Coturnix japonica: one gene and its partners. The protein of the gene in region 5 interacts with the protein of the main gene of each other region in a biochemical or structural test. Links are inferred from orthologs where the notes say so. Each region holds a gene or a part of one and is shown on either strand. Other genes may lie near its edges. The genes, in order: TNFRSF1A, HIF1A, SMAD1, MBP, MAPK1, ATF2 and PTPRR.

Region 1 (3,882 bases), on a different chromosome or scaffold from region 5:
ATGGAATTATTGCTAACTGTAAGTATAGCATGGGTATACAGATATATCTACTGGCAGATGCCATTAAGATAGATGTTAGCATCCCTCTCCTTGCTTTCTACTGTGGTGCAGCAGCTTGCCCTTAAGCGATTTCAGCTTTGGGACAACTCTGTTTTGCTTGCCTGCTTTCCTGAGGAAGACTGTAACTTTTTTGCATGCCTTGCAATCAATCCCTGTTTTTTTGTTACAAGTTCTACCTTAATTGTGTGTTCTCTTGTGTTGGCTATCATGATATATTTGCTACTTAATTTCAGTAGCTCTGCCTTCCTTGGATGTACTGATGTAAGATCTTTATGTTTGAATGCAGATTACCTACTTACTTTCCTTTTACTTTTTTTTTGTCTTTCACTGGGTATTTTTCTGTATGCTCATTGCATTTCCCTTGCTAACTGGTCTATGTACTGTACGTATAAAGGCTGACAACACCACTGTTTTCAGTGTCCAGCTGAGCTGCTTGTCAGTCAGATGCCGAACCATCACAGTATATCATGCAGTGTCTTGATGTAATACTGAAGTATACCCACTGGGATTTCATCACCATCACTGTCATGTGGGGATGGTGCAGATGTCTAAAAGAACGAGCCATGTTAGCTATGTCAAGCTGTCTCCTTTCCAGTGGGGGATCAGAGATGTTAACCCCATTCTGTTTGCCACCCTCCAGTTTGTCCTGAAGTCTAATTCTGCTCGTGTCCTTTAAATGCTCTTTACCTTGCTTTACTAAAGTAATCCCCTCTTCCTCGTAAATTCTGCTTCTCCTGTCCCCTTTCTGTCTCCTTGTTAAATGCATTCCCTGTGGTGTGTAGTGAATTCTGTTAGTTTTTGTGCTTACACCTGCCCTCAAGGATCATCATCATACACTGTCCTTGAATGACTTCCTTCCCTCATCTGATCTTCGTCCTGTCCCTCACATGTAACAGAATGTATGCTGCTTATTCTAATGCCTTTTTACCTCTCTTTTTTAATGTTGTCCTTCCTTCACTACTCTTGCCTGCTCTTTTTTAATTTCAGCATCTGTGCTGTGGCTTGCTTAAAAGCAATAGGTCTTCAATTTCTCACCCTGTACACTCATAGAACAGATCACAAGTGTGAATATGTGTGTCCCATCGCTTGAAGTGATTTCTCCCTACCCTGGACTGACTTCCTCAGCAGTCCCAGCTGCTCAGAGACCACTTCTTCCTCATTTTTGCCTAATGTAATTTCCCCTTCCTGTCACACTTGAACTGGAGTGACTTTCCCCATTCTGCGCTGAAACTATTCTTATCCATCAGACCCATCTCAGATGCAGTCTTCTTTTTTAACCTTTCCCAACCTCTGCAGAGGTGTCTGACCTACCAGAACAGTGATGCCCTCACCTTTATTATTTTTTTCTTCTTCCCCAGCCCCAAGTAATCTGAATCTTCTTTCCTTTCTCCAATAACAGTTCTTCAGGCTCAAAGAGGAATAATCTCCCACCTGTCTTGGAATGAATTTTTCCCCTTTCTGTTTCTTTGTTGTCCAGATTTTGGCAAGAGTTTCTTCTTTTCTCTGCAGGTTCAAAGGACAGAGATGCAATTTGCAAGTGTAAGCCTATGTTCTTCATGACGCTTAATAACCTTTGCAAGCATTGCAACAGGTGGGCTGTTTTTCTTTTTCTCTGTGTGACTGTATGTTGAACAGGACAGAGAACTGACTCAAGTTCCACAAGGGGAGGGAATTTTTCTCAAGGTTCTGTCCATCTTCATTTTACAAGGTTCTGGCTTTCTGGAGCAATTAGTATTGTCCTTCATTGCAGCCCTCTCTGATCGAGGACCACAGTCATTAGGCACACTTCCTTGCTGTGCTTTGCAGGCTCCTCTGGACTTGTTCTAGGATTGTTGCAAATGTCTGGTGTTGCATTTGCTGCATGCTCACATTTCTGATTTACTTTCAGCTGTGTTGGAGAAGAATGCCTGCAGTGCAGTAGCCCAGTGACTACCTCACCGAATTCATCTCAGCCGAGTGAGTACTGGGGGAACCTCGAGGATAATGGGATCTTTTCAGTGCAAACTTGTTTTGTTGACATTATCTGTCAACACCTTGCTGTCTCTAGTGTTTCAAGTCATTATTCATTACTCATCACCATTTGCATGTGCTCCCTTGTTCTTCTTTCTCAGGTACCTAAGTACTTACCTGTTCCCCTCTCAGTCTCTCACTCATTCACCTTCTCCCTTTTGTCCAGATGGGAACCTTGTTCTTGGCATCATTGTGGCGATATTTGTGGTTATCTGTGTCGTCTACATTGTAAATAAAGCAGTGAAGATGGTTCAGAAAAATGGGATAGCCTCTCCTTTCTACTTGTGTGGTGAGTATAGCAGCATATGCTGTGATACTGATTGTGATATACATCACTCAGCTGTGTGAATGTATGCATACATACGCATATGAGGGAAACAGTGGGATCCATTACACTGCTCTGATCCAAGGCTAGAGGGAATGTGAAAACTCAACAGCCAAGCTTGGTGCACTTCCTGCAACTCTGCTTCTGTGCTGTGACTGGAAGTGCATGTGAGCTCGTTTCTGGCAGATGAGAGTTTGCTGTAAAAACCTTTTGAGGTCAGGATTATGAATAGCTGCTTTCCTGTTTTCTCTGGGAAGAGAGGAAGTGAAAATAATTTTTGTTTTCTTTCTTTCTCATTCAAGTATCTTTGCCAGAGACAAGCAAGGAGCCAGTATCTGAGGTGAGCAAAAAGATGATTGTAAGAGTTTCCATTCCTCTTTCAACCACATTAACCTGGGATCCAGAGTAAAGTTGTTCCCCATGAGCTGTTTTCAGGCCTTAGGTTTTCAAAAAAGCTGAATAATAGGGCTGTTGAGTTAAAAAATCTTTCATTGTAGCAGGTGGAGCCATTAAAATCTTACTTCCATTTTGCTAGGAGGTGCTTTTCAAGCTCCTGGCTTTGTGTTCTTTTCTTTCTGGATGCATTGTTTTTTTCAGACAACTAATCCTTAATCCCATTGTCCTTTTATATATTCCAAGATGAGAAAATGTAGATAATTTTATTTCACTTCAGAACTTCAACCCATAATGTTCTTAGTCCAGCTTTACAGCATTTCATCAGCTGTGTTGTTGATTAGCAATTAAGAGCAATAGTCAAAGTAGGGTTTCCATAGTGTTACAAAGAAGGTTGATGAGGGAAGTGGCCTTTGGGACTTCTAGAATGGTGATGGGTTGGGATTCCAGGCTTTCTTTATGTCAAAAGAAGAATGAAATTCCTTGTGAAATAGGCTTTTGATGCCTTCTGCTTAAACAAGAGATACAGGAAAAAATCAAACTTCACCATCTGCTTTCAACCTGTCTTTGCTACGTTTTCTTTGAGAAAGCTGGTGATTCCTTGTAATAGGAGTACTGTGCTGCTGTGGGTGATTCTGAACTAAGACGTTGTCTCTTTCAGGTTGAGGCGAAAGGGAGTGCAATTACTGTCCTTCCCGAGATCCAAAAAGAAAAAGAACTGCTAGTGAATGCAGCACCACCATCTGCACCTCTGCTACAAAGTTCACATGAGCTGCCAGACTGCATCAGAACTGCCAGGAAGAGGCAGCTTCCAGACAGTAGGTGTAACTCCGGTATCCCTCCCTAGGGATATCTGATTATGCAGATATGGCTGGGAGGATGGATGAGATCTTACCAGGTGTGCTTGCCTTGTGTACGCGCATGCATACTTCATGCACAGCACAGCACAAAGCCTGGCCAGCATCTCTGAGCCTACAAGTCCTTCAACAAGCAGGGGTTGGACTTGATGATCTCTAGAGGTCCCTTCCAACCCCTATAATTCTGTGATTCCTGTTGCCCATTTCTGCAGTCCCAAGACATGTTCCCCTTGAGTC
Region 2 (3,882 bases), on a different chromosome or scaffold from region 5:
ATTTATACTGATACTCCATTCCTTTTGATTCAGCTTTGCAAATCCAACAGTTGAGGTTCCTCTGAAAGACTCCTGTGTTGTTCTTTCTGAAGTTGCTGGCTATCCCTTTTGTAATAGCTGGGACTAAAAGAGCCCTGTCTGATAAGTGTCTGAGATGGATGCATTTTCATGTCTTCCTTTAGGCAGCCTTTTACTGTATAAAGTGGCATTACAGTTAAAAATATCCTTTTTAACTTAAGCTTAGTTACTGTTGATCAAAGAACAACTTCTTTGCTGTACGTGAACTATTTCTAGTTCAGATTTCTGTTTTTAAAAGGGGAAAATGAGAAAATGCAAACCTTCTCATCGTTTGAAGAATGCACTTGATTTTGTCTTCTAACATCACTTCTGCAGATCTAAAAGGGAGGCTGATACTATTAGCGTAACTCTCAGGTTGACATAGTAGGATGCCAATTGCTTACCAGTGTAATGAGTTTAGCTGTCAAAGACATTGACAGGAATGCAGAAACTTCTGGCATTGCTTCTGCAGACATGAGAGGAAGGAGCTGGCAGAGTGTACTAACAGCCTATGTAAGATGACGAGAACTGTCTGTATTTTAACAATCAGTTTAAATGCACTCTTGTGTTCCTGCTGTTGATAACGCTGAGCCTAGAGAGGTGGGGAGGGAAGCACTTAACTCTGTGTGCATCAATGGAAGTGCATCTGTGTTGGCTGACAGAAAGCAGTCTGGTCTCTTCTTAAGTCTAACTGTCCCACAGGTACTGCACTGCACTGGACACATACGTGTATATGACACATGCAATAATCAAACTCACTGTGGCTACAAGAAGCCTCCCATGACGTGCTTGGTGTTGATATGTGAACCAATTCCTCACCCATCGAACATTGAGGTCCCCTTGGACAGTAAGACGTTCCTCAGTCGTCACAGTCTTGATATGAAATTTTCCTATTGTGATGAAAGGTAAAATATATTCAGCTCTTAAAATCTGCATTCATGTGAAGGAATGATTTGCAGGGGTTGTGTGTGTTGGCTGATGTGGGCCTCATGCTTTTACAGGCTCAATTATCTGCAAAAATGGAGTTGTCAGTGAGATGCTTTGGCTTTTGTACTGACTGATCAGGATGTCGTATTAAAAACCAAACTCTTAAGTGTAAGGAAGGTGTAGGGTAATAGTGAGTAATTCCTCAGTTAAAGGCCAGTTTGAACAGTGTTGTGGTAATGATTACATTGAAATGAGAAGATTTTTCTGGATGCTGAGAAAATGGAAGGGATTGCTGGAGATGGTGGTGCAGTTTATAGACCAAAAAGAGTACATACATAATATCTGTCAGGCATGTTGTGCTGCTTTTTTTTTTTTTTGTCAGATCAGCATCTGCTTTTTCCAGTCAGGAAAAAAAGTAAAGCTTTGTTCTACTTTTAATGCAACACATCTGTAGTAGAAAACAAGATTTTGTATTATGGTATGTCAGTGATGTAGTCTAATACATACTCATCTTACTACTCTTTGGAAGCTCATGCTTGATAAATCTGAAAAAACAGACAGGAAGGAAATCACTGGCCTTTTTTTTTTTATGGGTTCTATTTATTACTGCTAAGACCTTCCTTTTTTTCTTTAATGTAAAAACGAATTTCTAATCAGTTACTGCAGTTAGATACAAAAGTACGTTAGTATAGGTCACTTTCTGCCCCGTGCAGTAGCTTTACCTTTCTTAGGCTGCTGGTGGTATGTAAAACATGTGAATTTGGTGATGTTGTGCATAAAGCAGGGCCTGGTGCTTTTTCCTAGTTAGCGCTGCCCTCTAGGGGCTGTAGAAAATACTTTGAAAGCCAACAGTGAAGAGAATAAATCTCATTAATAATTTGTTTTAGTTGCATGGTTAAAACTGTTAAAGCATGTCTTTATTTTATTATATTCTCATTTGTGTAAGCTGGATATTCTAGTCTGTAAGTAGCTTGTCTACTTTGAAGCAATAACGTCTAAAAAGCAGGGATTTACTTAATCCTGTCCATCACAGGACATGCTTTATAAATATTCAATGAGAAGTAAAATCCTATGGCTGCTGAAATGTCTTGTATCTTATTAAAGGAGCATTAGGAAAAAAAAAAGCATACTCACACTAAACCATCATTGCTGGTAATGTTCGTGGAAGAGATTCTTAAGTTCTCTGTGGATCTACAGGCATCCATATGCTCTTGTATTTCTGTTGCTCAGTGTCTGCTCAGCAAATTTTCTCTTGTTCTAAAGAATTACAGAGTTGATGGGATATGAGCCAGAGGAACTGCTGGGTCGTTCAATCTATGAGTACTATCATGCGCTGGATTCTGATCATCTGACCAAAACACACCACGACAGTAAGTGAAAAAGATGTATTTAATGCTCTCAAGTACAAGAAGTGAGATAGAGAGCCAAGGGAAAGCCACAGAATAACAAGGGTTTTCCTTTTAATTGCAGATATGAATCTGCAGAGAATACCTAGCTTGAAAAGGGATATATTTTTTTCTGCCTGTAATTAAAGCTGATGTCTATTCTGGTTTTAGTGTTCACGAAAGGGCAGGTGACAACGGGACAATACAGAATGCTTGCTAAACAAGGTGGCTACGTCTGGGTTGAAACTCAAGCAACTGTTATATACAACACTAAGAACTCTCAGCCACAGTGCATAGTATGTGTAAATTATGTGTTGAGGTAAGTTAAGTAGGAATTGCTATTTTTGTCATGACTTATTTTTTTTGGAAGACTGAGTCAGATTCATCTTTGACTTGCTAAGAATCCGGTCCCTATTCAATATGCTGCAGTGCTATCTGATTTTCCTACTGATTAGCTTTTTACTTAGAATGCTGCTAGTCGTAGGATTAGGATTAAAAAAGACAATCACTTTGTAGAGATATCAGTGGGGAGATCTCTGCAGGCAAACAGAATTTGGGCATTGTAGGCACTTACCTAATTTTTGTCCACAGTCTAGAACAGTTATACTCACTGGTAATTCCTAGTGATGGAGTCAGAGGTATCCATTTATCTTTTTCTTCCTTTGAATTCTTTCTACTGAAACCTTAAACTTAAGGCAGACTTGAAGTATTTTTCTGCGACAGTGGAATAGTCCTAAGTTAGTTTTTCACAGCTTTAGTGAACGTACCAGTATCAATCCATCAAGATATAGTACCTTCATTTAAAAAAAGTAGAAGACTTTTAAGGAAAGCCCCGAAGTTTGTTTTACTTCTTTTTCTTACTTTCTTGATGCTTTCATGGCAACTTAGAAAATCGTGAGGGCTGAATTCTAGCTGGTTTTTAATCATCTTCCTTTCTGTCTGGCAGTGGAATTGTTCAGAAGGACTTGATATTTTCCCTTGGACAAACGGAGTGTATGCTGAAACCAGTGGAGTCTCCTGAAATGAAAATGACCAAAATATTCAGCAAAGATGACCTGGATGATACCAACAGCCTTTTTGAAAAACTTAAGCAGGAACCAGATGCTTTAACTGTGCTGGCTCCAGCTGCTGGAGACACGATTATCTCCCTAGATTTCAGCAGCAATGGTGGGTGTGTGTTTAAATTGGAGAGCATGCTAATTAGTAAAGTTTGGTATTTTGCAGTAAACTTTGGAAAATAACTTCCCACTTTCACTTGCCTAGTGATCTCTCAGCCACTGTTTAAAATTTAATGAGGTCCGTAGACACGCTCAGTATTTGTTACTTAGGTTGATGGTCTCTTTTAATTTTTATAGAGTCTGATGAACAACAATGTGATGAAGTTCCTTTGTATAACGATGTAATGCTCCCCTCATCCAGTGAGAAATTGCAGAATATAAATATGGCAATGTCCCCACTACCTGCCTCTGAAACTACAAAGCCACTTCGTAGCAATGCTGATCCTGCGCTCAAT
Region 3 (4,451 bases), on a different chromosome or scaffold from region 5:
CATTTTTACACATTTAAAGTATAAATGGGGTAAATTAGGTGCTCCCTTGTGATGATGGGAAAAAAAAAAAAAATGGATGAGGTCTTCATCATATGGGAAGGAGGAAAAGAGAGAACAGCGTTAGGGGTAAGGCCAAAGAGGTAAATGCATGCAGGAAAAAATAATCACAGTGCAGAACAGTGTAGGCTGCAGAAAGAGGCAGGGCAGAAAAATATGAGGCTTGCTGGGTTAGGTCAGCAGGAGGTAGAGAGAGGGCTGGCAGAGAAGCAGCAAAGGCATGTGTCTGCCCTCCAGAAGGAGCTGCACAAATATCAGCTGGGGAGGAGCTGCTCTTGCTGTGCTTTATAGGATCAAAGAGCAAGTGGAGTGTTTCTGTGTCTATTTGTATAAGGTATAATGCAATGCAATTCTGGTCCTGATTACTAATAAAAGATAGCATAGACACAATTAAAAAGCACCTCATACGGACCCAAGTAGAAAAGATGAGACAAGGCTTGGCAAACCACTGGCTGACCTAGTCTGTCACTCCTTATTTTGTTCCTATTTATTCATCATAGGGCTAATTAGTAGTATATTACAGGACTGAGGTCATTAAGACTCAGGCTTCTTTGCATCTTCTCCAGCTAATTTTTAAACTAACTGGAGTGTTTTGGTAGACAATGCTGCTGTTTTCCATCCCCCAGCCCCCTCACCTTTTGTTTTGGCATTTACACGTGGTCACTGCCTTTAGTAGGGCTTCCTTTCAGCATATTGCAGTGGCTGGAGACTTCCCAGAGTAGCTGTGTTTCTTTCCTGTTTCTTGTACTGCTGTCCTGAAACAGGTGGGAGCAGCATGCAGACTCTGCCCCATGCACCTTACATCAAAAGGACCTCACTTGGTATGTGCAGACTGGGAACTGAGCTGCACTGCAGAGAACTTCAAGGATGACAGCGCTGGAAAATCAAATCAGCTTTAGAGAGAGAAACACACAGCTGGGTCTGCACTGATAACAAGCATTTTCAATCACTAAATCATGAAAACTGCACCATGCAGGGATAATTGTCTCTTGTAAATGGCACTGTAGTAACTAGGAGGCCAGTGATCTGTATTTAATGTGATTATATACCACGAATCAACGATAAGGCAGGCATTGCTTCTCTGATTCACTTTTGTCGAAATTGAAAGAACGGAAAGTAAAACAAAAATCAGAGCAAAGCAAGTATAAAAAATGTGAATGCTTTTCAGCCTAAAAGTTCCAGAAATTAATTATTCTATAGCCTGATACAGTCAAACACTACGTATCTATGAAGAACAAAAGGTTTGTAAATTCACTTTGGCCTTAGCCATCCATCTGTGGGCAGTGTTATGCGGTGCGGGAGGTAGGAGACCTGACTGCTTGCAATCCTCTGGGCATTTTCCTCTCGAGCCATTGGTGCTATGTGGTGCCCTGGCTAAACTTTAGGTTGGTTAATTACCTTCTGACTAGTTAGTTCTTCAGGAAGCATCATTGTCACTGTCTTTAATGAGTCTGAGATAAAACTTTGTATGCTTTGTTAGAGCACAACAATTCTATGTAAAATTCTATATGTATATTGTGTTTTGCAGGCAAAGATAGTGACTGGAACCAAAGAGACTCAAACCAGAATAAGGATGAACACACACTAGATCAGAATCTGGGGAAATGAGGTGAGGTTAACAGTTGAGTAATTAGTGGTGTGAATGAGCAGAAATGTGAGTGTAAAGGGAAGAGAATGGAACTGTAAAAGAATATGTTGTGTTATCTGCTCCGTTATTGCATATGTCTTTCTAGAAAATTCTCATGATGTTTGGAGTCTGAAACCAACTTACATTTCTGGCTTTTTGTGTCCCAGTATTGACAAACTTTAAAGTAGGATTTTGAAAAAATAAGGCTGGCAGGTTATACCGGGATCAAAGAAACTGAACAATCTTCCTTTCTCTATTACATTGCCTCTGAAAATGCCATGCCCTCAAGCAAAACCAAGGATGATTTTTTTAATTAATCACAAGGCATGACTGTAATTTTATTTCTCATCTGAGAAATGAGAAATCTGCTCCCAGCAGCACAATGACTCTCAACTACGACCAACCAGGACTAGATTGGGGTATCTCAGACATCTGGGAAATTAACTGAGAATTGAAACAGTGCATTAGCAGTTGTCATCTAAATCCTATGTCAGAATCCTAAACTGTTTCTTAATCTATCCATGTTTTCCCTGGAGTGTATCTTATCTGTGCACTGACACACTGACCAAGTTTGACATATTCTGTTCAGGATTTGATGAGATCACAGTGCAAGACTGTCTAACTGCAGGCCATAAATTGTTGCACTCTTCCATCTGGTTGCTCTCTGACAGGCATATGCTTTGCTTAATCGGGGTGATATACTCTCTGTCAGTGCCATCTTCTAGGTGCTGAAAGCCTTAGGAGCATGAACAACTGAACTGTAGGGGTTTCACATGCCGTGTGACAGTACTTTGCAGAAGCTGGACCAGCTGTGCATTGGCTGAGGCTAATTTCTGATTACAGGTTTCCAGTTAGAATAAGGCAGCATTGCTATATCTTGCTATTTGCGGTTACTGAGGGACTTCCTTGTGATGATGATGTCCATATTGAACATTTGATCCTTGTCTGTAAAAGTGATACGTTTCTGCACTCAGATCAAATGCTTCATACTGAAATCTAATTGTCTGAAGAGGCACATGGGTACCTTAGTCTCATTGACTGTGGAACTTAGAATACCACTTTCCGAAGTATTGGTGAGCCATGAGGTCTCTTCCTCTGACATCAGCAGAATCTCTGGATATGCATGGCATAGTTCAGTCCTTAGAACTATGAGGGCTGTCGGCCCATGACATTAAAGGCAGTAGAGGTTGAACCTCCCTGCCAATATCCCTTTACATGTTGCTGCCCTGTGACAGATGGCAGCAGAGGGGCAGTCTGACAAAATGATGTCTGAGGTAGAAGTGCACGTAAAGCAAGGATTTGTCACTGAATTCTTCCATGCGGAAAAACTGGCACCCACCGACATTCATTGACACTTGCTGAATGTGTATGAACAAAGAGTGTCAGTACAGTGAGGCAGTGGGCAGTGTGTATCAGCAGTAGTGATAGCGACGTGAAAGACAAGCCATGATCCAGGCAGCCATGCATGTTTTCACCAGCATGGTATGCAGTCTGTTGTTCATTGCTGACAAAAATGCATAGCTAATTGTGGTGGCTCTGTTGAAACGCAGTGTTTTGTAGCTGCAAATTTGCTCTATCAGGTAGCATTATTATGTTTTGTACCTGTTGTAGTTTCCAAGGAATAAATAGGAGGCATTACTTTCGGAGCAAACTACGCATAGTATTAGTGGGCTAAGATAATTGTTTGTCATTCAGGTTGCCTACACTGAAACTGTATTGATTTGATGTATTCAGAACTTCATCAAATATTAATTATCCTAGGTGTGTGCTTCAGGCAGAATGTGTAGAAAATGTCAGAGAAAATGTTTCAGCCTTTCTGAGAACAGGACAAAGAAATGAACAGATTGTTTTGCCAGGGCTGAAAATGTTAGAGAACTTTTGGGAAAATATATCAATTTGGCAGGAAAAGGAGAGATGATTTTTCTTTGACAGGAGATGAGCAATGAGGTGTAAAACAGCTTTATCTTAGCCTCAGTTTTGCAACTAGGTATTGCCAAAGCCCTTTCTGTAATGGTTCGCTACAGCATAATCTGGTGGGGAAAACAAAATCACTGTGTGTTATTTCTGACCACTGTTTGTTCTGTTCTTTGAATGTGACAGATCTTTTGGAAAGAACATGTATAAGCAATAGAGGATGGGCGTCAGGACCCGCCGCGACTGAGTACTTAAGATGATAACAACCACATTGATCCTGATAGGTCCTTGCTTTCAGCGGCCTAGTTTTGCAGTTTTTGGCTTATAGTGAGGACTTATAGATTTGTGCAATAATATATGAAATGTAGAGGGGGTTGCTTTTAAATCTACTCAACTTGTTTGTAAAAAATTTGGCTATTTTTGATCTATGAAGGAAAGACGGAGCTTAAAATTGGTCCTAATGCCTTTGTCTTGTGGGCAACATTTTCCAACACTTTGCATGACTGCCAGGATGTCTGAAGCCTATGATGTCATTTCCTCCTGAAAGTGCAAACAGAAACCAATACATATACATTTATTCTCAGGACTTGTCAGTTATGGAGAAGTCACTAAGAACTCATTACCTTGGGATGACTAATTAATTACTAATTTACTTACTCTCCATAACAGAGTAAATAAGCTCATTCAGTTCCTTGGTCCTATCATTCTTTGTCTTCTTTATTCACCAAAGAGCCCAGCTTACAGTAGCTCTTCTGAACTCACATGTGCTGTTGTACTTGAAATGAAAGAGTTTTTCCTCGCTTCAAAAGAAGTTCACTATATCTGTTACAGTTTCATAAGCACTTCAGCTGGC
Region 4 (3,882 bases), on a different chromosome or scaffold from region 5:
CCTCTAGTCCTACCGCTAGTATTTTGCTTTGTATAAAACAGGTTCTGACAGTAGCAATTGTTCAGACAGGGCTGAGAGGTCCCAGCTAACTTGAGGCTTATTCAGGGATGTCGTTTTGATTGTCAAGAGATGTGATGAATCACTGTTGCCAAGTTGAGCTTCAAGGCACAGTGGTTTTGAGCATAGTGAGGTGTGGCCTGACTCCTATTAAAGACAATGGAGGTTAGTTTTAATATTGGTTCACTGAAAGTCCCCTCAGAGTTTCCATTCATTTAATTTCATTAACTGGCTGTTTAGATTTTTCTGGTTCATCTATATTGCTTCATTTTGGAAACAGATGGCTTGTCCACTCAGACCAACAGCGTACAATTTAATAGTCTTCCAGTTATGCTTATGGAAATGCAATGTGCTGTATTTACTCTTAAAATTAACCTAATTTGCAAGACTTTTTTGGGGGGTAAAAATAATACCTGCAACCCTCTTCTTCCCTGACAGCTTTCTCTTGTACAAATGATGTGTCATAGGAAGGCTATTCTTGCTTATTTGAAGTCTTATACAGCCTTGTCAAAGCAGAACTTCATATTGCAGGAAGAAACAAACAAAAAACACATCAGCATAACTTGCCCTGTCTTTATGATGGGCCTTAGTAGAAGTCTAAATACTTGTTTCTAACCAGACCTATGCACAAACGTTTGCATGTTCCATTATTTCTGGGTCTCTTAAAGGTGGCTGCTCTCTCAAAATTCGCTTGAAGACTTCACTTAGTTAGCTCAAATATTGTTATTTATGTATTTTTACACCTTAAAGAACACTTGAGCATGAAGAAAATTTAGAAGAAAACTTACTTAAATGTATGCTTTCATTACTGAAATAGAACATACAGAAAGATTTATGCTTCACAGCTCACAGAAGCAACTTTTATTGCACAAATGCCCTTCTTTGTTGCTTACCAATGCACGTATTCAGTGACACAAAGCACAACTGTTGTAAAAAATATTAGTATGCAGATGCTCTGGTGTCTTGTTAATGCATTTAATTAAATACAATAGCTCTTTTGTTTATTTTTCTTTTTCTGTCCTTGAATGGATTTGTATTATGGTATAGAATCCGGGGTTATGGTTGCTATTTAAAATGTTTTGCAATTTCAGAAAGTGTCACGTACTGGTGATGCTATTTTATCTTTCATTTGATTAAGGAAAAACAGTTGAGGTTTAGTAACTGGTAAGGAATCCAAAAGCATCTTCTCAGGAGAACTAAAATCACAACGGTGCCAGCAAATATCTTCCTCTTCTCTTCTGATGAGGTCTTAAGTTACAATTAGCAGTGGTTAAACAAGTATAATCCTGAGAAATACTTTCAAGTGTTTTAACCAAAGGAAAGTCTAAGATTCCCTAATGTAGTCTGGGTAGTTTTCAAAGGCACACATTGGAATTGCACAAAATATTTTCATATGAGAAGCTGTGTTAGAACTGCAGCAGGCTGATAACAACAAATTGTCACTTGGTAAGTACTAGGTATGTAGTTGGAGAAATCATAATTTCTGTCTTGTGCTTTTACCCTTTAATTTACTTCAGAAATGCTCTCAGCCTGAGGAGAGGTTTCTTCAGTGCCCTGTGGGTGGGAAAAGTGGCATAAAATGACTTCATCAAGTCCAAAATTGCTTTGAAGTACTGGAGCCCTGGCTATTTAGGAAATGTAACAGTATTTGCCGGATTCTGTTCCTCACATGGCATCAAAGGCCAGAGCAAAGGGAGATTTAATGAGGTAATCAGGAAACCCTAAAAGTAACACGTGACTAACTAGAACTTCTGTCTGAAATTTCAAGCTTTATTAACTCCAAAAAACTTGATATTTGTGACATGGGGGGTGTGTGTGAGAAGTGTTTGCTCTGAGACTGATTCTCAAGCAGTAATCTACCAACAGGTTTGGTTTGGTTTTGTATTCCTGGGAAGGCATATTAGATGCAGTATGTATCTACATGTTTTAGTCTACAACAGAGGAAGACAAACAAAAAACTCAGTTTTCTATCAACATAGAGCATGTGTTAAGTGCTATGTGTGCTGTAACGGATTTATTTTGCAGATAATCCAGTGTGTGCATCAGAACCCAACTGTAGAGAAGGCAGCAAATATTGGCACAGGTCAAGGAGATCTGTCTTGGAGCTTCTCTTGGAAAAATGCTCACTGGGTTCTGTGAATCCTTTTTAATCACTTCTCACAAATACTAAATGCAATTGGGATAGCTTTGCTCATGGCCTTCAGCATCAGATAGTCTGGGAAATGTAGGGAGAACAACTGTCCTGGGAGGCAAAGCAGAGGTTGCAGTTTTTTTTTTTTACTTGTTTGAAGAGATGATAATTAAGTAGTAAATAAATCTCTCACACCTCATTTTGCTTTTGTTCATGAATTTAATGGAATTGCTTCACTGTCAAAGTGAGAAATTCAAAGCGGGGGCAGAACTTCAGCTGGAGAAGGTTGGACAGTGCAGAGGGGGAGCATGCACTGGGAAGTGATCAGTCCTGCTATGTCACTTGAACTACTTTCCCCTGTTTAGGAGACAAAAAAACATGCTGTAGAGTTCCAGTCTTCAGTGGAAAGTACTGGAAATCTGCCTGTCCAGACGTTGTAGCTAAAAGCCTCAGGGTCACTAAGCTTTCCACATAAGCCAATTGAAGTCAGTTATGCTTCTAACAAATTAATCTATTTACAAATACTTGTAATTTAAAACAAAAACAAACAAAAAACAAAAACCACAAAAACCACCTAGAACTACTGCAAATTTCGTGTGAGAACATCACTGCAGTTTCAGTTCCAAGATAGCTTAATGTTCTTGCAGGCTGCTAGAGAACATAGTTGCGTCGCAACAGCACATATTACGGGTTTTGTATGAAATGGCCATCTCAAGGCAGTGGAAAGAAAGCAGCATTGTTCCCGGGCTGTTTTTCACAGGCCTGTATTCATATCTCATCCTTGTTGTTTGCAGGAGAGGCAGATGTGAACCAGAACAATGGGACCTCCACGAAGAGCCCAGCGGTGACAGACTCCAAAGGCACAGCGGATCCGAAGAATGCCTGGCCCCAGTCCCACCCAGCTGACACGGCCGGTCGCCCCCACTTGATCCGCCTCTTTTCCCGAGATGCCCCGGGGAGAGAAGACAACACCTTCAAAGATCGGCCCTCGGAGTCAGACGAGCTACAGACCATCCAAGAGGACAGTGCAGCAGCTTCAGAGAATTCGGATTTGATGGCTTCACAAAAACGCTCCTCTTTCCGGCACGGATCAAAAATGGCATCGGCAAGCACTATAGACCATGCTCGACATGGATCTCCAAGGCACAGAGACTCGGGTCTACTTGACTCGCTGGGCAGATTCTTTGGAGGTGACAGACACGTTCCCCGGCGGGGCTTTGGCAAGGTGAGCTCTGAGGAATAGAGAACTGCACAGCTCCAGGAAAAAAAAATAATATACAATTAAAGAGATAAGGGTGGGACTGAGAAGAAGGTGTAACTGCTAGAATGCAAGAGTTGACTTAGCCAGCAAGACTGTACTTGCAGTTGTGTAACTTAATGCTTGGCTTTGATCTGAAAATAACAAAAAAACAAAAACAAAACCAACATAAATCTGAGAAATGCAAGGAGCTGTTTCTGGGTTGTGACGAGGTGTATTAGAAATCCAGGTGGCTCTAGAAACATTACCAAGCAGAATTTTGATGAGCATTTTATATGGCGTGCTGTGTGTATTTGTATGCTGTGCTGTTTAGGGAGAGACCTGAGCCTGCTTTTGTGTTGTTTTTAAATATATGTGAAACTGAGCTGGATGAAAGCACTAAATGCAAAGTGATGGCTCTATGGTTGGGCAATAACTGTGGGACAGACTTAGAAAT
Region 5 (4,389 bases):
TCAGTCACGGGGAGGTCACTTTACACTGCTGAAGCAGTGGATGACATTTAAATGACAACTTGTCCCGTGGGCTTTCGGCTGTATGACACCAGTTCAATCAGGCCCAGGTAGGTTCTGATTAGAAGTCATTAGCATCTGATGCTCTTTATGACTCTCTTAGGATGGCTCCCAGTGGATCAGAGCTCATATCCGAGCAATTTCAGTTTGTGTCACATTCATCACCATGGTTGCTGACTGCCTTAGAAGTTAAAATACATCTTTATAGAATGCCTTACATGTCTTACTTCTCTTTCTTCTCCTCCAGGCAGAGGCTTGAAGTCTCCTTAAATAACACTTGGAAAATTGCTTTCTGTACTGGATGTCTGCATTTGGTTTGGACGACGGGGCACTGGGAGCACAGCACTGAGCACAGCACTGAGAGCACAGCACTGAGCACAGCACTGAGAGCACAGCACTGAGCACAGCACTGAGAGCACAGCACAGAGAACACAGCACAGAGCACAGCACTGAGAGCACAGCACTGAGCACAGCACTGAGAGCACAGCACTGAGAGCACAGCACTGAGCACAGCACTGAGAGCACAGCACTGAGCACAGCACTGAGAGCACAGCACTCTCCCTGCTTCTCCCAGGCCCCTTGTTTCTTTTACTTGTTACCTTTAAGTTTCCTTTACTTGTTTCTATAAACTACCTTTAAGTTTCCTGCATCACTGTTCAGTTTGAGTTTTAGCAGAGAAAACGAAATCCCCAAGAGCAGCACTGTGGGGCAGCTGTTTGTGCTTTTTCTAAGCCCAATGATGCTGTTCATTTTCTTCTCTCCACTCGTCATTACCCGCCGTCATTTCGTGGTATCAGCATCCCCTCAACATAACGCCGTGTTTCAGCCATCAAACCAATGACCTGCTTGAGACACCTTCCCATTCCTTCTGTCACTGATGCTTTAATGTCAGCTCAGACAGACGGCCCGGCCCGGCTGCGTGTGACAGCACCGTGTGTGACAGCACCGTGTGTGACAGCACCGTGTGGGCGCGGGAACGCGCACGTAGCGCCGGACACGGAGCCGCGGGAACGGCTGCGTGTCCGGCCCAGAGCGACGCGCACGGAGCTCGTCCCCGCACGGTGCTCGTACCCGCCGTGCTCGTCCCGTCCCGTCCCGTCCCGTTCCCCCCCATCCCGGTCTCCATTTCCTCCCGCCATCACCTGACTCCTCTAATGGCGGCGCTCGGAGCGGCCGCGCCCACCACGTGACCCGCCGCCCACGTGACCCGCGCGCCGCGCCCCCTCCCCGTCGGTTGCGGTTACCGCAGTCCGAGGCCCCCCCGGTCTCGCCCCGCCCCCCGCCCCCTCCCGTCCCGTCCCGTCCCCGCTCTGGTGGCGGTGGTTGCTCGGCGGGTCGGTTCGTTCCGTTCTCCGCGGCCCGTTCTCCGGCCGGTGCTTCTCAGCGCGGTGTGGCGGAGCCGCCTCCTTCCTCCTCGCTCCCTCCTTCCCGTCCCCTCCTTTCTCCTCCCTCCCCTCCCCGCACGCAGTCGCCGCGGTTCCCGGCACGGACAACATGGCGGCGGTGGCGGGGGCCGCGGCCGCGGGCGGCTCTACCGGCACCGGGGGCCCGGAGATGGTGCGGGGCCAAGTGTTCGACGTGGGGCCGCGATACACCAACCTCTCGTACATCGGAGAGGGGGCGTACGGCATGGTGTGGTGAGTACGGCATGGTGTGGTGAGTACGGCATGGTGTGGTGAGTACGGCACGGGGTGGTGAGTACGGCATGGGGTGGTGAGTACGGCATGGTGTGGTGAGTACGGCATGGGGTGGTGAGTACGGCATGGGGTGCTGAGTACGGCACGGGGTGGTGAGTACGGCACAGTGTGCTGAGTACGGCATGGGGTGGTGAGTACGGCTCGGGGCGCTGTGTGAGTGCGGCCGGGAGCGGCCCGCGCGGCCTCGGGGCGGGGCAGGTGAAGGTGAAGGCCGGGCGGCCGCCGCTTGCCCTGCCCTGGGCCCTGCCCTGCCCCGCTGTGCCCTGGGCCCCGCTGTCCCTTTGTGCGGCGCTCACCTGGCTGCTGCTGCTGCTGCTGCTGCTGCTGCCCGGGCCTCCCGCTGCGGCTGCGGCCGGGTGGCTCCGCTCGGCCCTGCCCGGCTGGCAGGCGGCGGCCGGGCCGTGTGTGCGCGTTCTGCGCCGACCGGTCCGAGCTCCGAGCGCCAACCGCGAAATGCGGGACAACGATCGCGAGATTTTGGCGTTGTAGCAGCGGCCCCGACGTGCCGGGCCGAGCCGCGGTGCTGCCGCTGAGCTCCGGGCTGGGCCGGCCGTGCTCGGCTCGGGGCACCTGCTCTGCATGGGCGGCTGTGGATGGGAAACGCAGCTCCTCGTTGACGGGCCCATCGCGGCGCTTCCCGGTGTGTTGTGTGACCGGAGGTGCTGTGTGACACTCGCAGCTATGGTTGTGTAGCAGCTTTGCTTTCTCTCTCTGTCGGTTCGTGCTTTGTAAACCGCAGTGTATCGCTCAGCAGAGCTGCCTTGCTGCCTTCAGCTGCACGCTGTGGATCTGCAGGTTTCCTCTCGCAGCTGTGGGGATGTGCTGCTCCGTCACGGTGAGGCCGAGCTGTGTTGGTGGGAGCTGGAGCCGCTCCTGAGCTGCTGGGGAGGCAGACAAACATCTGCCAGGAACTTTAAAGCTGCGGCCTTTGCTTTTGTGTTGTGGGAAGAAGCTCCAGCACATAAACCAAAAAAAACAAAAGCTCCCGTTGATGGTGTAAAAATAACCTTGTTATTGGTTTAGTGCTGGAAGTCACAACAACGGCCCGTCCAGAGCTCGTGTTCCAGGTGTTGTTATTGTGTGCCTTTATCAGCGGAGCCGGGTGGCAGCTCGCAGCCCCAGCAGAGCTTGGTGCCCGCAGAGCGATCCAGGCAGGAGCTGTGAGCAGCGCCGTGCCGTGCGGTACCGAGGTGGTGCCGCAGCCGGCTGCTCACGCTGAGATGTTTGTGCACGGCGCAGTGCGGTGGCAGCTGATGCCCTTTTTTGGCGTCACCGTGATTGGGAGCAGACAGGGAAACGGGGTCCTTCTCTTCCCCTGCACACGGTGTGTCACTCCATTCTGTTATGGAAGGGTTTCCTCTCTGAAACTGTGGAATATTATCGTCTGTTTGGAAACTTGCCATATTAAATGATATTCTGCTTCAAATGCTATCTGTATTTCTTAACAAAAAATTCTGAATCTCCAGTTTAGTTGAGATATTCATTTGGCTCCTTTGTTTTCTTCTCTAAAGCTGTTGGTGTGAAATCCTGAACGTGATACATTGCACTGTAATTATTGATCTTCTGCCTTGGGTGTGAAATGCCAGGGAACAAAGTCTCAGTTTATGCGTGTTTGACAAAGGAGGTGCTGGATGCACATGTTCCAGCTGAATGCCATAGCAACTGTCATGCCTTGCAGCGCAGCACACCGACTACTATGGTTAAGTAACAGTGCTTACTGAGCAGTGCAGGTAGAGCTTATGCAGATTCGTACTGCGTGTCCCGGGTCTTGCTTTGACTGTAACGCAGTGCAGATCTGCAGAGCATCTCCCTTCCGGGCTGGGGTGGCAGAGGGCAAAGCCACAGGGTGCAGGTGGAGACAGCTCCTGCTATTGAAAAGCCATTTAGGTTTGTACTCTTAAGAAAGGACAGCAAGGCAAGCGTTAATGGCTTTGTTTTAGGCAGTCAGCTGATGTGTATGAGACAGAAGGTGCTGGTTATTTCTAAATGCATTGTGCTGTAAGGCTTGCTATATGCAAAATGGGTGGCTTAACTCTTAGTGGAATCCCTCACTCGCTTATTTTTCACAAGTGTTATGTTTCCACATCGCTGAATTAGGGAGTTCATATTTAAAAAACATCTTGCTGGGAGTTAAGAGGTTAATAAGTGGGTATCCATGTAAGCATCCCTTCCCAAACTGTTGTTTTTCACTTTTCTTGCACGTGGAACCAGGGGATGAGCACCATGCTGAGATGTAGCTGAAATCCGCAGCACCTTGCTGACAGTAAGACATGAAATAGCAAATACAGGGCTTTGTTGGCCTGGGATCAGCCAGTACTGGCTGCTGCTGGAAGCTGCGGAGCTCTCAGGTGCAGTGATGGCTCTGGAACGAAGCTGCCCCTTCCTCGCCAGGTGCTGGTGGGGCAGCCTGCCTCGAAAGGTTCTGCAGGTACTGAGCCCTGCATTGCCAGCAGGAGCTGTTCTCCATCCACGTGGTCAGTGCTGATTTGGTAAGGGATTGTCTGATAGTTTAAAACAGGTAGTTTTTGGAAGGAAATGGTTAATGAGAGTGTGATGACAGGCTTCTGTTTTGTATTGTTACTTAGAACTCTTCTTGCCATCACACTTACGTAAACATGAAGTGTTATCACTGCTG
Region 6 (3,882 bases), on a different chromosome or scaffold from region 5:
GTTGAAGGAGGGAAGGTTTGTTTCTACTCTTCAGGGCAGAGCTGGTTTTAAAATTCTATATGCCACCGTAACCATCTCCTTGGCTGAATATGTTTTAGTAGTCTTAAATGGTCACAGCCTGTTAATGTACGTGTAAGAGGGTTCTCATTTTCTTTGTAGTTGTCAGAGCTATTTCTTAGACACTCTTGAAAATTGTGCTTCGTTCTATTTTTAGTACTGTGGGAGAGTTTTCTTAGTTCCATGAAGCTTCAGTAACAGTTGTTATTCTACGTAGAATAGACTAATATACCACTGCAAGTACCTAAAGCCTTTCAGACGTAAAATAATAAACATAAAAAGCTTAATTTATTATTTGAGAGTTTTCAAGTTCATTATTGTTTCTTATTAACGGTATATTAAAAGGAGACCCTCAGAGTTTCTCACGTTGTTCTTCTTGTTGTTGCCAGGTAACTAATTCCCTAAACTAATTATTTCAAAACCATTTGTTTTCTTACATTGCTTCTCAATTACAGCAATAGCTCTGGCCATCTGCCTTTCTGTATAAAGAATTCCAAGCATTCATTGATTGTGTTAAAAAGTCATCGCATGGTATTTGCTTTTAGACTCAAAATCCCTGCAAATATGCAAGTATTGAAAACAAATGTAAAAAAATATAATTGTCTTCTGCAAAAAAAATTTCTGAACTTCAGTGGTTTTTAGTTTCAAGAATAAGGATTGAAGAGGTCCTTTCAATAAATCTTCAATATCTTTGAATAGGTTTAAACTCCTTTTTCTTTTACAGGTGGGTACAATCTCTTACGGTCATGATTCTGCCAATTTATCTTTTTTTTTTTTTTTTTTTTGTCCCTGTTCTTTAGCAGAATTTACAAACTATCCTATTTTAGACAAAATTTACACTTAATAAGAACAATTCTTTGTCCAGTGAATTTCTTTATTGGGATGGCGTGCTGGCGGGTTTTTGTATGTTCATAAAACAACAGTTTCTTGTAGATCCAATACATCTCCAGTTTACATTATTGCAGCATTGTTTAATTAGCACATGCTTTCCAGAGTTTAACTTAACACACGTTAGTGTGAGAAGAAGAAATGGAAAATACTTTGTTTTCAACTGAATAAAAGTGTTCTTCTTTTAATGTTTGGCGACCATTTTTGCTCTTTTAAACAAAGCACTGTATTTAAGATAGGCTGTATTTAATTGAAAGAGTTGCATGCATATGAGGTTTCTGTTTTCAGGATTTTAGATAATTAACTTATGTTACTAGATTGATCTTCTGATGGTCACTGAAATACATTTACTATGGAGTGCTTGGTGTGAAAGATGAAAATTACCTTTCTTCAGGTAGAGACTCAGTCCAGGAGGAGATTCATTTTACAATCAGTATTTATTAGGGTGCTCATCATTTAAGCTGTTATCAATAGCCAATATTCACATAGTGCAGTAACTTAACCGTGTTCCATAGTTGAAGTAGAAGTTGGGAGGCGGGTCCCAGCTGCTTGCTCGTAAGTGGAAGGTTGTAGTGGTGGAGGGTTAGGTGGCTTTTTGGAAGCCCTTTAGGAGGTCTGTTCTGTCACCAAGTCCATATATAATCCTGTAGTCTTCACTTGTACGTAGCAGCCACCAAGTTCATGGATGTTACCTGAATCGTACAGTATGTTGACATTGGTGTCCATGCACACCCCAGTGACCACGTGCAGATTCAGCTGCTTTTCTGAGTTTATCCATTGTTACATATTCAACAGGGCTGTTTTTCTCTAGAGTTTTGTAGTCTTTCACATGCTGCCTCTGAGCGCATGCTTCTAGTTTTGGTCTGTTGTATTCTTGCAGCTATTGCCCCATCTGCTCACACAGGTACTTAAAAAAAACAACTGTTCCCACAGACCCATACAGAAAAGGGTCTGCTCTGGCATTACTGTTACTGAGAAGGTATGAGTATCTGCACATGAGTGCATTTTTGTCTTAAAGCTGTAACACATGGTGGTTCTGTGGCTGTAGCTACCTGTTTTTGTTGGGTTTTTTTTCCCCACTTTTTTATAGAAAGTAGTATTACTTTGCCATGGGTATTCATTCTGTGGTGTTCATGTATCTGCATTTATATTTATATGTACGTATATGTGTGGTTGCTGTGTATGAAGATGTTTCTGGTGAAAGAGCAGAAAAAAACCCACCATCTCTTAAAGCTGTTGGTTCTGCTATGTATGGCAAAGATGGGTGTTCCTGTGTTGGAGACTTTCTGGTGACTCTGCTAGCCTCCTTGGGTGTAGTAACAATGCAAGCGGCAGGTAGGAGAAAATGAAGCTGAAACGAGTGAAGAATGGCACAATGCTATTTTTTCAGTTAACTCTCGCTAGATTCAGGGCTTCTGCCTTCCTTTAACTTCTAGTCTCAGGAGTGTAGCTATATGGGCCCTTGACTGTAGAGTTAGTGTGAAAATACCAGATACTGTGGAAAAATCCCACGTAAAGACAATCTGAAGTCTGACCATATGGAAGGTTTCCTGAGAAGGAAGAAATTGGTTTTGGCAAGGCACTTTTGGTTTCACTGGGTTACTCATACTACATTCCAGGTCATAATATGTGTTACCTGATTGCTAGGCTAAGAAATGCAGTGAGTTCTGTCTACTGTCTAGTTGTAGCTAAGGGGATTCGTTTCTTGTGCTAGGATCATTTTCTCTGTGTCATGATAGCCAAATATTTTGCAAAGCATCTGCGTTACATTCTAAGGAGTTGTAACTGCATAACACACTATTTATAAAGCATATGTAAGTCAGATATAAAGGATCATAAATTATTTCCTTTATACTAGAAAATTAACCTATTTTGTTTTTGTTCAAGTATGCAAAAATAGACTGAATTTGAAATGTTCACAAGGACACCATGAAATGTTTTCTTACTTGTTGTGGGTACGGTGGTGCAGATAGCACCCTGGGTTTCTTGGTATAAAAATATTTAACTAATAGTTAGATTTGATTGGATATTAATAGTAACCTTATCATAAATTGAGCCATGATTGGTCATAAAACTAAAATTAAACTACAATAAATTTCATTTTAGTGATTGAAATAATTAATCCAAAGGTTTTTATTATTTTTTTTTTAATGTACAATTGATTGTTCCTGCTGATTCAGATGTTAGGGAACTTCTGATACGTTCAGTTAAATTGTTTTCCTTTTATGACCTGAACTAATGGTGTATAACTGTATTTTACAAGCAGATTGATCTTTGGTTTCTCCTCAGGAGGTGTCACTGCAGCAGACTGCACAGCCCACATCAACAATAGTTCGTCCAGCATCGCTACAGGTTCCTAATGTGCTACTTACGAGTTCTGACTCAAGTGTTATTATTCAGCAGGCAATACCATCACCAACGTCTAGTACTGTTATTACCCAGGCTCCATCCTCTAACAGACCAATAGTGTAAGTTACATAAATCTTGATGTAATGCTTTCTTGCAGATTCTGAAAATATTGTCTTGTTAACTGTCCGTTACTGTTGCTTTGGTTATTATACAACTTTGAGATGCTTGCATGAAAGTGGTGCTTCACTACAGGTGAAATGCTATTCCGTGTTCTTCAGGTCAAGTTCATATTTTTAATCTCTAAATATTACATTGTAACTGTTTATATACCTATGTGTTTATACAATGTATAAGCTCGCTCTCTTCTCTGGAAAAGTTTTCTCTAATACATGTAATTCTTTTTTCAGTCCAGTTCCAGGCCCGTTTCCGCTGCTGTTACATCTTCCGAATGGACAAACCATGCCTGTTGCTATTCCTGCATCTATTACAAATTCTAATGTGCATGTCCCTGCTGCAGTTCCAGTAAGTAAGCATGATGTTATATTGATTTGAAAGTGTAGCAGGTTTGCGTAAGTGCAGTGTAGAACA
Region 7 (4,406 bases), on a different chromosome or scaffold from region 5:
TCCTCATCTTAATAAAACATTGCCCCAAGGAGATAAAATACCAGTTTCCTACTTGGATTTTACTTGATTCAACTGATAGGCTTCAAGAAGGAATCTACTGAGAGACTAAGACTAGAACCTATGTGCTTCCTCCCTGCAAAGGCTGGTAAAGAAGCATTGCTCCATACTTAAGGATGTCAGTGTATCTCTTCACTGATGAAGAGAACAACAAACAATTTAACTGAAGTCCCTACAACCTACTGTAAGGCCTTTGCTAATTAAACCATGTCTTAGGTGACCTGATCAAATCTCCTGTTGTTGAGATTTTGCTTTTCCAGCAGCAGAATTTGTTCCTCTCAATAAAAATACTTTAAGAATGCTCTGATAAGATCTTAAGATAAGAGAGGTGGTGGGTTCATGTTATAATCATTAAATGAGAAAGTATTTTTCACAACTAGATTATTTTCCTGAGTTATTTACTATGACTGAATTCTTTATCCATCATGTTTTAACTCTTTTCATGAAATCTGCTAAAAAAGAAAGTGAAATGAAATAGTTAATTAGCTGAGTAATCTGTGATGCAAATAGCTCAAATTGCAAACTAGTCTAATGCCTCATTTTGTGTTTTTGCTACCACCTGCCATTCTCTTACAAGGAAACAATGCTCTCTAGTAATCTTGGGAAACATTCATTTTTCAGTGCAAGAACATGCATTAGATCATAGCTGCTAAAAAAATTATAACCTGTCTTGCACTCTCGCATGTGATACATAATACAAATCAAAGATTCATACTGACCTGTAATCAGTTACTACAAATTTAGGTCTTCCTCCAACAGCAAGCTCTATACAGGTTGTTTACTTTACCTGCTGAATTCAGCAGAAAGGTCTAATTCTGCTTCCAGATATGCACACAAGTGTCTATAATTTCAGAAAGAGATATACCAGTATACCAACAGCACTACTTAACCATTTTAGAGAGTGAATTCTATTTGCAGTAGTATCAGATCAAGTAAATGTGGGCTTCTGTTTTCTCTAAAGCCTGATATCACTGATTGATATTAAGGGAGTTTTTGTTAATGTCTGCTGACAGTGTCCCCTCTATTCCCTTACACAGAAGCATGCCTCATGTATAGTCCGCCTCAGAACAAAATGAAACATGAAAAGCAAACAGCTCTCATCACACTACCAAAAACTGGTATTTCGGATATAATCTGTGACCCAGCACAAGTAGTAAGGGGAATGTATTTTATGATATCACATGAACCAAAGCTGCAAAAGCATTGTCAATAATTTATAAGTTTGGGCTATTCATAAAAGATGTCTATAATGGTACCCCATGAAAGATCACATTTTCTGCTTGCATCAAATGAAACAGAAATCAGAGCAGTTTAAGCTTGCTGTGCTATTTTATTGTTGTGACATCTTCAATGACTTTCAACAGGAACAAGTTGCACTCAGCCCTGCCTGGAGGAAGCACAGCTCTTGCACTCAATGAGAGCCATGCCCAGTATGCAAAGGCTGAATGCATCTCCTGTCTATTTTTTCAGTTGGCTTCTCTGAAAGACTTACTCTCCAAGACTGCCTGGGGAACAAAGTAACACCACATGAACTTTTGTAGGTTATTTTTCCTCTATTTTTCTCATTATTAGAGATACTTTCATAATAAAGGTCAAGCTTTGCAAGGATTCTCAGTGACTTAATAAAGCAAGTTAAACTTAGTAAGGAACATAAATGGCTTTCTGGCAGGATATTAGTAAGATAGAAAAATGATTCACATCTAAACTAATGTGAAGTCCACTATTATTAGAGGATGAACTGAGATTAGAAAGCATGTTCTGTGAAACAGAGGCTGTGCACTAATTTTGTACACATGATCACTTTAATACATGTTGTAAAAGAACAATCTAATAGCAGCTTAAGGCTGTTATTAAAATGGATTGCAGGATGTGCTCTGCCTTTCAGTCAATAGTCTCTCTCACACATGTATATAAGATATAACAGCATGAGCTTCCTAACCAGAAAGGAAAAAGGATCCTGAGGTTTTATGAAGTGCAGCCTGCTTTTCCAGGGCGATCAAACACCAATAACCACTGCATGGCACTTCTCCAGCCCACAGCAAACAAAAGGATGCGGTGCCCCCTCACAGCTGCACCCAGACACACAGCTGTTTTCATACACAGATCGGCTGTGCGTGGGATCTGTGTACGCACACTGCTTCCACATTCAAAGAGACATGAAGCTCAATTATTACTTTTAATGATTCTGCGATAAGGCAATGCAAATGACTCACATCTTTAAAATCTCTCCTAAAAGCATCGTTTTATGGGAGCAAAAGGGTGCATAGCATCTGGGGGTGCGTTCATTTCTTTCTCTTAATTGAACTTCAGTGAAGTTAAACGTGGGATGCAACAGCCATTTTCTACCTGAGAAGTAGCAATGCTGCCCATAGAGAAGGAAACACTTCTACTTTCCTAGCTAAGAACTTACTTAATTCTACCCTTACCGCAGATTCTGTTTCCATCCTGGGGATAATGAGGTGTAGCTCTGTATAAAGGAGAGGGATTCAGAGCAGCCCCCCGCCCCCGAAGAAGAGGAAAGCGGAGAAAAAGAGGATAAGAGGAGATGTACCATCCGTCTCCTCCCGTTCGCTCGCTGTCCCCGCTCCGCCGCGGTCGGGGCCGGGAGAGCGCTGACCGCGGTGCTGAAACGTCGCCCTCCATCCATCCCGCCCGCCGCCAGCCTTGGCCCCGCTACAACAGGTGCGCGGCCGCCCCACGCCCGACCCGCGGCCAACCCCGCTCACCTGCGGCGCGGAGCTGGAGCAGGAGGCACAGAGCGCGGAGGCACGCGGCCGCCCGCCGCATGGTGCCAGCCCAGCCGAGCCCAGCCGAGCGAGTGGAGCCGAGCAGAGGCGAGCAGCGCCGCGCCACCGCGTCCCGCTCCCCCCGGCAGTGAGCATGCCTGCGCCTGCGCAGCGCTGCGCGGACGGGAGGGAGGTGGGGTGGGTGATGCCCCCACCGCGGGGTGAGGAGATGGGTGAGCAGTGAGGGGATGCGAGCAGAGCGTCCAGGAGCGGGAGGGAGAAGACAGACAGTGGGGCAGGCGGGGGGGATTCTCCATCAGGCTTCAACCGCAGCCTTGGCTCGCTGATGCAGTTGCGTCTTCCAAATATTAAAGGGCGTATGTATGAGGTTCGACCCAGAGGAAGTAGGAGACGTGTGTTTTTTGTGCTTGCAGGGGAAGCAGTCCTGTCCTTCAGTTTGTTGTCAGACACTCTGTGTTGTAAATAAATGCTTAGCAGAAACTGTGTTGGGAATCATGGCTGAAATGAAAGTAGCATTGGCTTTGGGGCTGCTGAGCTGCCACTGGAGTGGGCTGATGCAACACCCACCCGGCAGGCACCCACAAAGCCTGGTAACAGGAATATCAGTCCCAAATACCGAGGCCAGGCACGGCAAATTTAACACGATCTCTAACACGATTATTTGCTAAAGCTGTGTTTAACTGAACAAGAGTCACCGGAGGTCAGCCTCAACAGCAAGAAACACACGCACCACCCGACAAGTGGCCCGTCTGCAGGACTGGGGTTGCACGTGGCTGATGGTCCATCCTGCAGCAGAAACAGTTTCTGGAGTGAAGTAGGAAACTACAGAGATTAACAGGGCTTGCTTTCTTGTAGTTGCTTTCAGACAAACCTGTGTGTAGACATTTCCTTAATGTCATGATGCAGAGGGCTGCACAGGAGCAGATTTATAGACGTGGTTGCATGTGTGACTGTACGTATGCAAACGAACTTCCTCTGCCAGCCCCCGCACGGCTGTTGGCATGCCGATAGGCTGCTTGACAGCAATAAAAGTGAAAAAACGCCTGGGTTGGAAAACAGCACAATCTTGAGCTCAGCCCGAAATGGGGGAACTAAAAGGACTGAGGGGATACTTGAGCACGGTAGCATCCTGAGCCATGTCATCTCAGTGATATCTTTGTAGGTATTGTGCCTCACATGCCCTGCTAACTCACAGGACCTATGCTGCTTTTTGGTGGTAATTTGATGTGGGCATATACTACTTGAAGCACACCATGATCCGGATTATTCCTCCTCATTTTGAATAGGTAAAATCAGAACTAAAAGAAGTGAAGAATAGAAGTCTGTCTATCTGTGCAGTGCACTCCTCTTAAGGCCCCACAACTGCAGTTCCTGTGTACCCAGGCCCCAGAGCTGTACATTTGAGAGCAATAAGTAGGCAGCTGCACTTACTACCCTTAGTAAATTCTGTCATGTGAGTTATCAGGTAGCCACTTTCCAGGGAAAGACAAAATAAAAATTTACTTATGATCCTTTGATGTTTTGTTATTCTCCACAAGTCATCACCCCTGTGTGTTCTAGGCAACCATTTAGGGTCAAATATGTCAACAAGATAACTCAACT

Evidence for each region.
Region 1: the proteins of MAPK1 (region 5) and TNFRSF1A form a complex in vitro, tested with the Homo sapiens proteins (2 studies listed by BioGRID, with this or other methods). The link is inferred for Coturnix japonica from reciprocal best matches to the Homo sapiens genes MAPK1 and TNFRSF1A.
Region 2: of the proteins of MAPK1 (region 5) and HIF1A, one has a biochemical effect on the other in vitro, tested with the Homo sapiens proteins (3 studies listed by BioGRID). The link is inferred for Coturnix japonica from reciprocal best matches to the Homo sapiens genes MAPK1 and HIF1A.
Region 3: of the proteins of MAPK1 (region 5) and SMAD1, one has a biochemical effect on the other in vitro, tested with the Homo sapiens proteins (3 studies listed by BioGRID). The link is inferred for Coturnix japonica from reciprocal best matches to the Homo sapiens genes MAPK1 and SMAD1.
Region 4: of the proteins of MAPK1 (region 5) and MBP, one has a biochemical effect on the other in vitro, tested with the Homo sapiens proteins (16 studies listed by BioGRID and IntAct). The link is inferred for Coturnix japonica from reciprocal best matches to the Homo sapiens genes MAPK1 and MBP.
Region 6: of the proteins of MAPK1 (region 5) and ATF2, one has a biochemical effect on the other in vitro, tested with the Homo sapiens proteins (3 studies listed by BioGRID). The link is inferred for Coturnix japonica from reciprocal best matches to the Homo sapiens genes MAPK1 and ATF2.
Region 7: the proteins of MAPK1 (region 5) and PTPRR form a complex in vitro, tested with the Homo sapiens proteins (2 studies listed by BioGRID, with this or other methods). The link is inferred for Coturnix japonica from reciprocal best matches to the Homo sapiens genes MAPK1 and PTPRR.

What each region holds. Positions count from the first base shown.
Region 1 is NC_029516.1:71,186,352-71,190,233, forward strand, and holds part of TNFRSF1A (tumor necrosis factor receptor superfamily member 1A), read left to right. Parts: coding exon 1-18; intron 19-1,569; coding exon 1,570-1,651; intron 1,652-1,948; coding exon 1,949-2,016; intron 2,017-2,236; coding exon 2,237-2,359; intron 2,360-2,697; coding exon 2,698-2,735; intron 2,736-3,449; coding exon 3,450-3,606; intron 3,607-3,882.
Region 2 is NC_029520.1:49,074,425-49,078,306, reverse strand, and holds part of HIF1A (hypoxia-inducible factor 1-alpha), read left to right. Parts: exon of another isoform or gene 1-759; coding exon 760-962; intron 963-2,118; exon of another isoform or gene 2,119-2,241; intron 2,242-2,247; coding exon 2,248-2,354; intron 2,355-2,540; coding exon 2,541-2,688; intron 2,689-2,943; exon of another isoform or gene 2,944-3,315; coding exon 3,316-3,536; intron 3,537-3,724; coding exon 3,725-3,882.
Region 3 is NC_029519.1:27,332,461-27,336,911, forward strand, and holds the start of SMAD1 (mothers against decapentaplegic homolog 1), read left to right. Parts: upstream 1-1,590; 5' UTR 1,591-1,666; intron 1,667-4,451. UniProt on the Homo sapiens protein: Transcriptional modulator that plays a role in various cellular processes, including embryonic development, cell differentiation, and tissue homeostasis.
Region 4 is NC_029517.1:81,533,245-81,537,126, forward strand, and holds part of MBP (myelin basic protein), read left to right. Parts: intron 1-2,982; coding exon 2,983-3,413; intron 3,414-3,882. UniProt on the Homo sapiens protein: The classic group of MBP isoforms (isoform 4-isoform 14) are with PLP the most abundant protein components of the myelin membrane in the CNS. They have a role in both its formation and stabilization.
Region 5 is NC_029530.1:385,966-390,354, forward strand, and holds the start of MAPK1 (mitogen-activated protein kinase 1), read left to right. Parts: upstream 1-1,327; 5' UTR 1,328-1,551; coding exon 1,552-1,694; intron 1,695-4,389. UniProt on the Homo sapiens protein: Serine/threonine kinase which acts as an essential component of the MAP kinase signal transduction pathway. MAPK1/ERK2 and MAPK3/ERK1 are the 2 MAPKs which play an important role in the MAPK/ERK cascade.
Region 6 is NC_029522.1:14,864,015-14,867,896, forward strand, and holds part of ATF2 (cyclic AMP-dependent transcription factor ATF-2), read left to right. Parts: intron 1-3,234; coding exon 3,235-3,413; intron 3,414-3,701; coding exon 3,702-3,816; intron 3,817-3,882. UniProt on the Homo sapiens protein: Transcriptional activator which regulates the transcription of various genes, including those involved in anti-apoptosis, cell growth, and DNA damage response.
Region 7 is NC_029516.1:32,691,119-32,695,524, forward strand, and holds the start of PTPRR (receptor-type tyrosine-protein phosphatase R), read right to left. Parts: upstream 2,916-4,406; 5' UTR 2,845-2,915; coding exon 2,784-2,844; intron 1-2,783. UniProt on the Homo sapiens protein: Sequesters mitogen-activated protein kinases (MAPKs) such as MAPK1, MAPK3 and MAPK14 in the cytoplasm in an inactive form.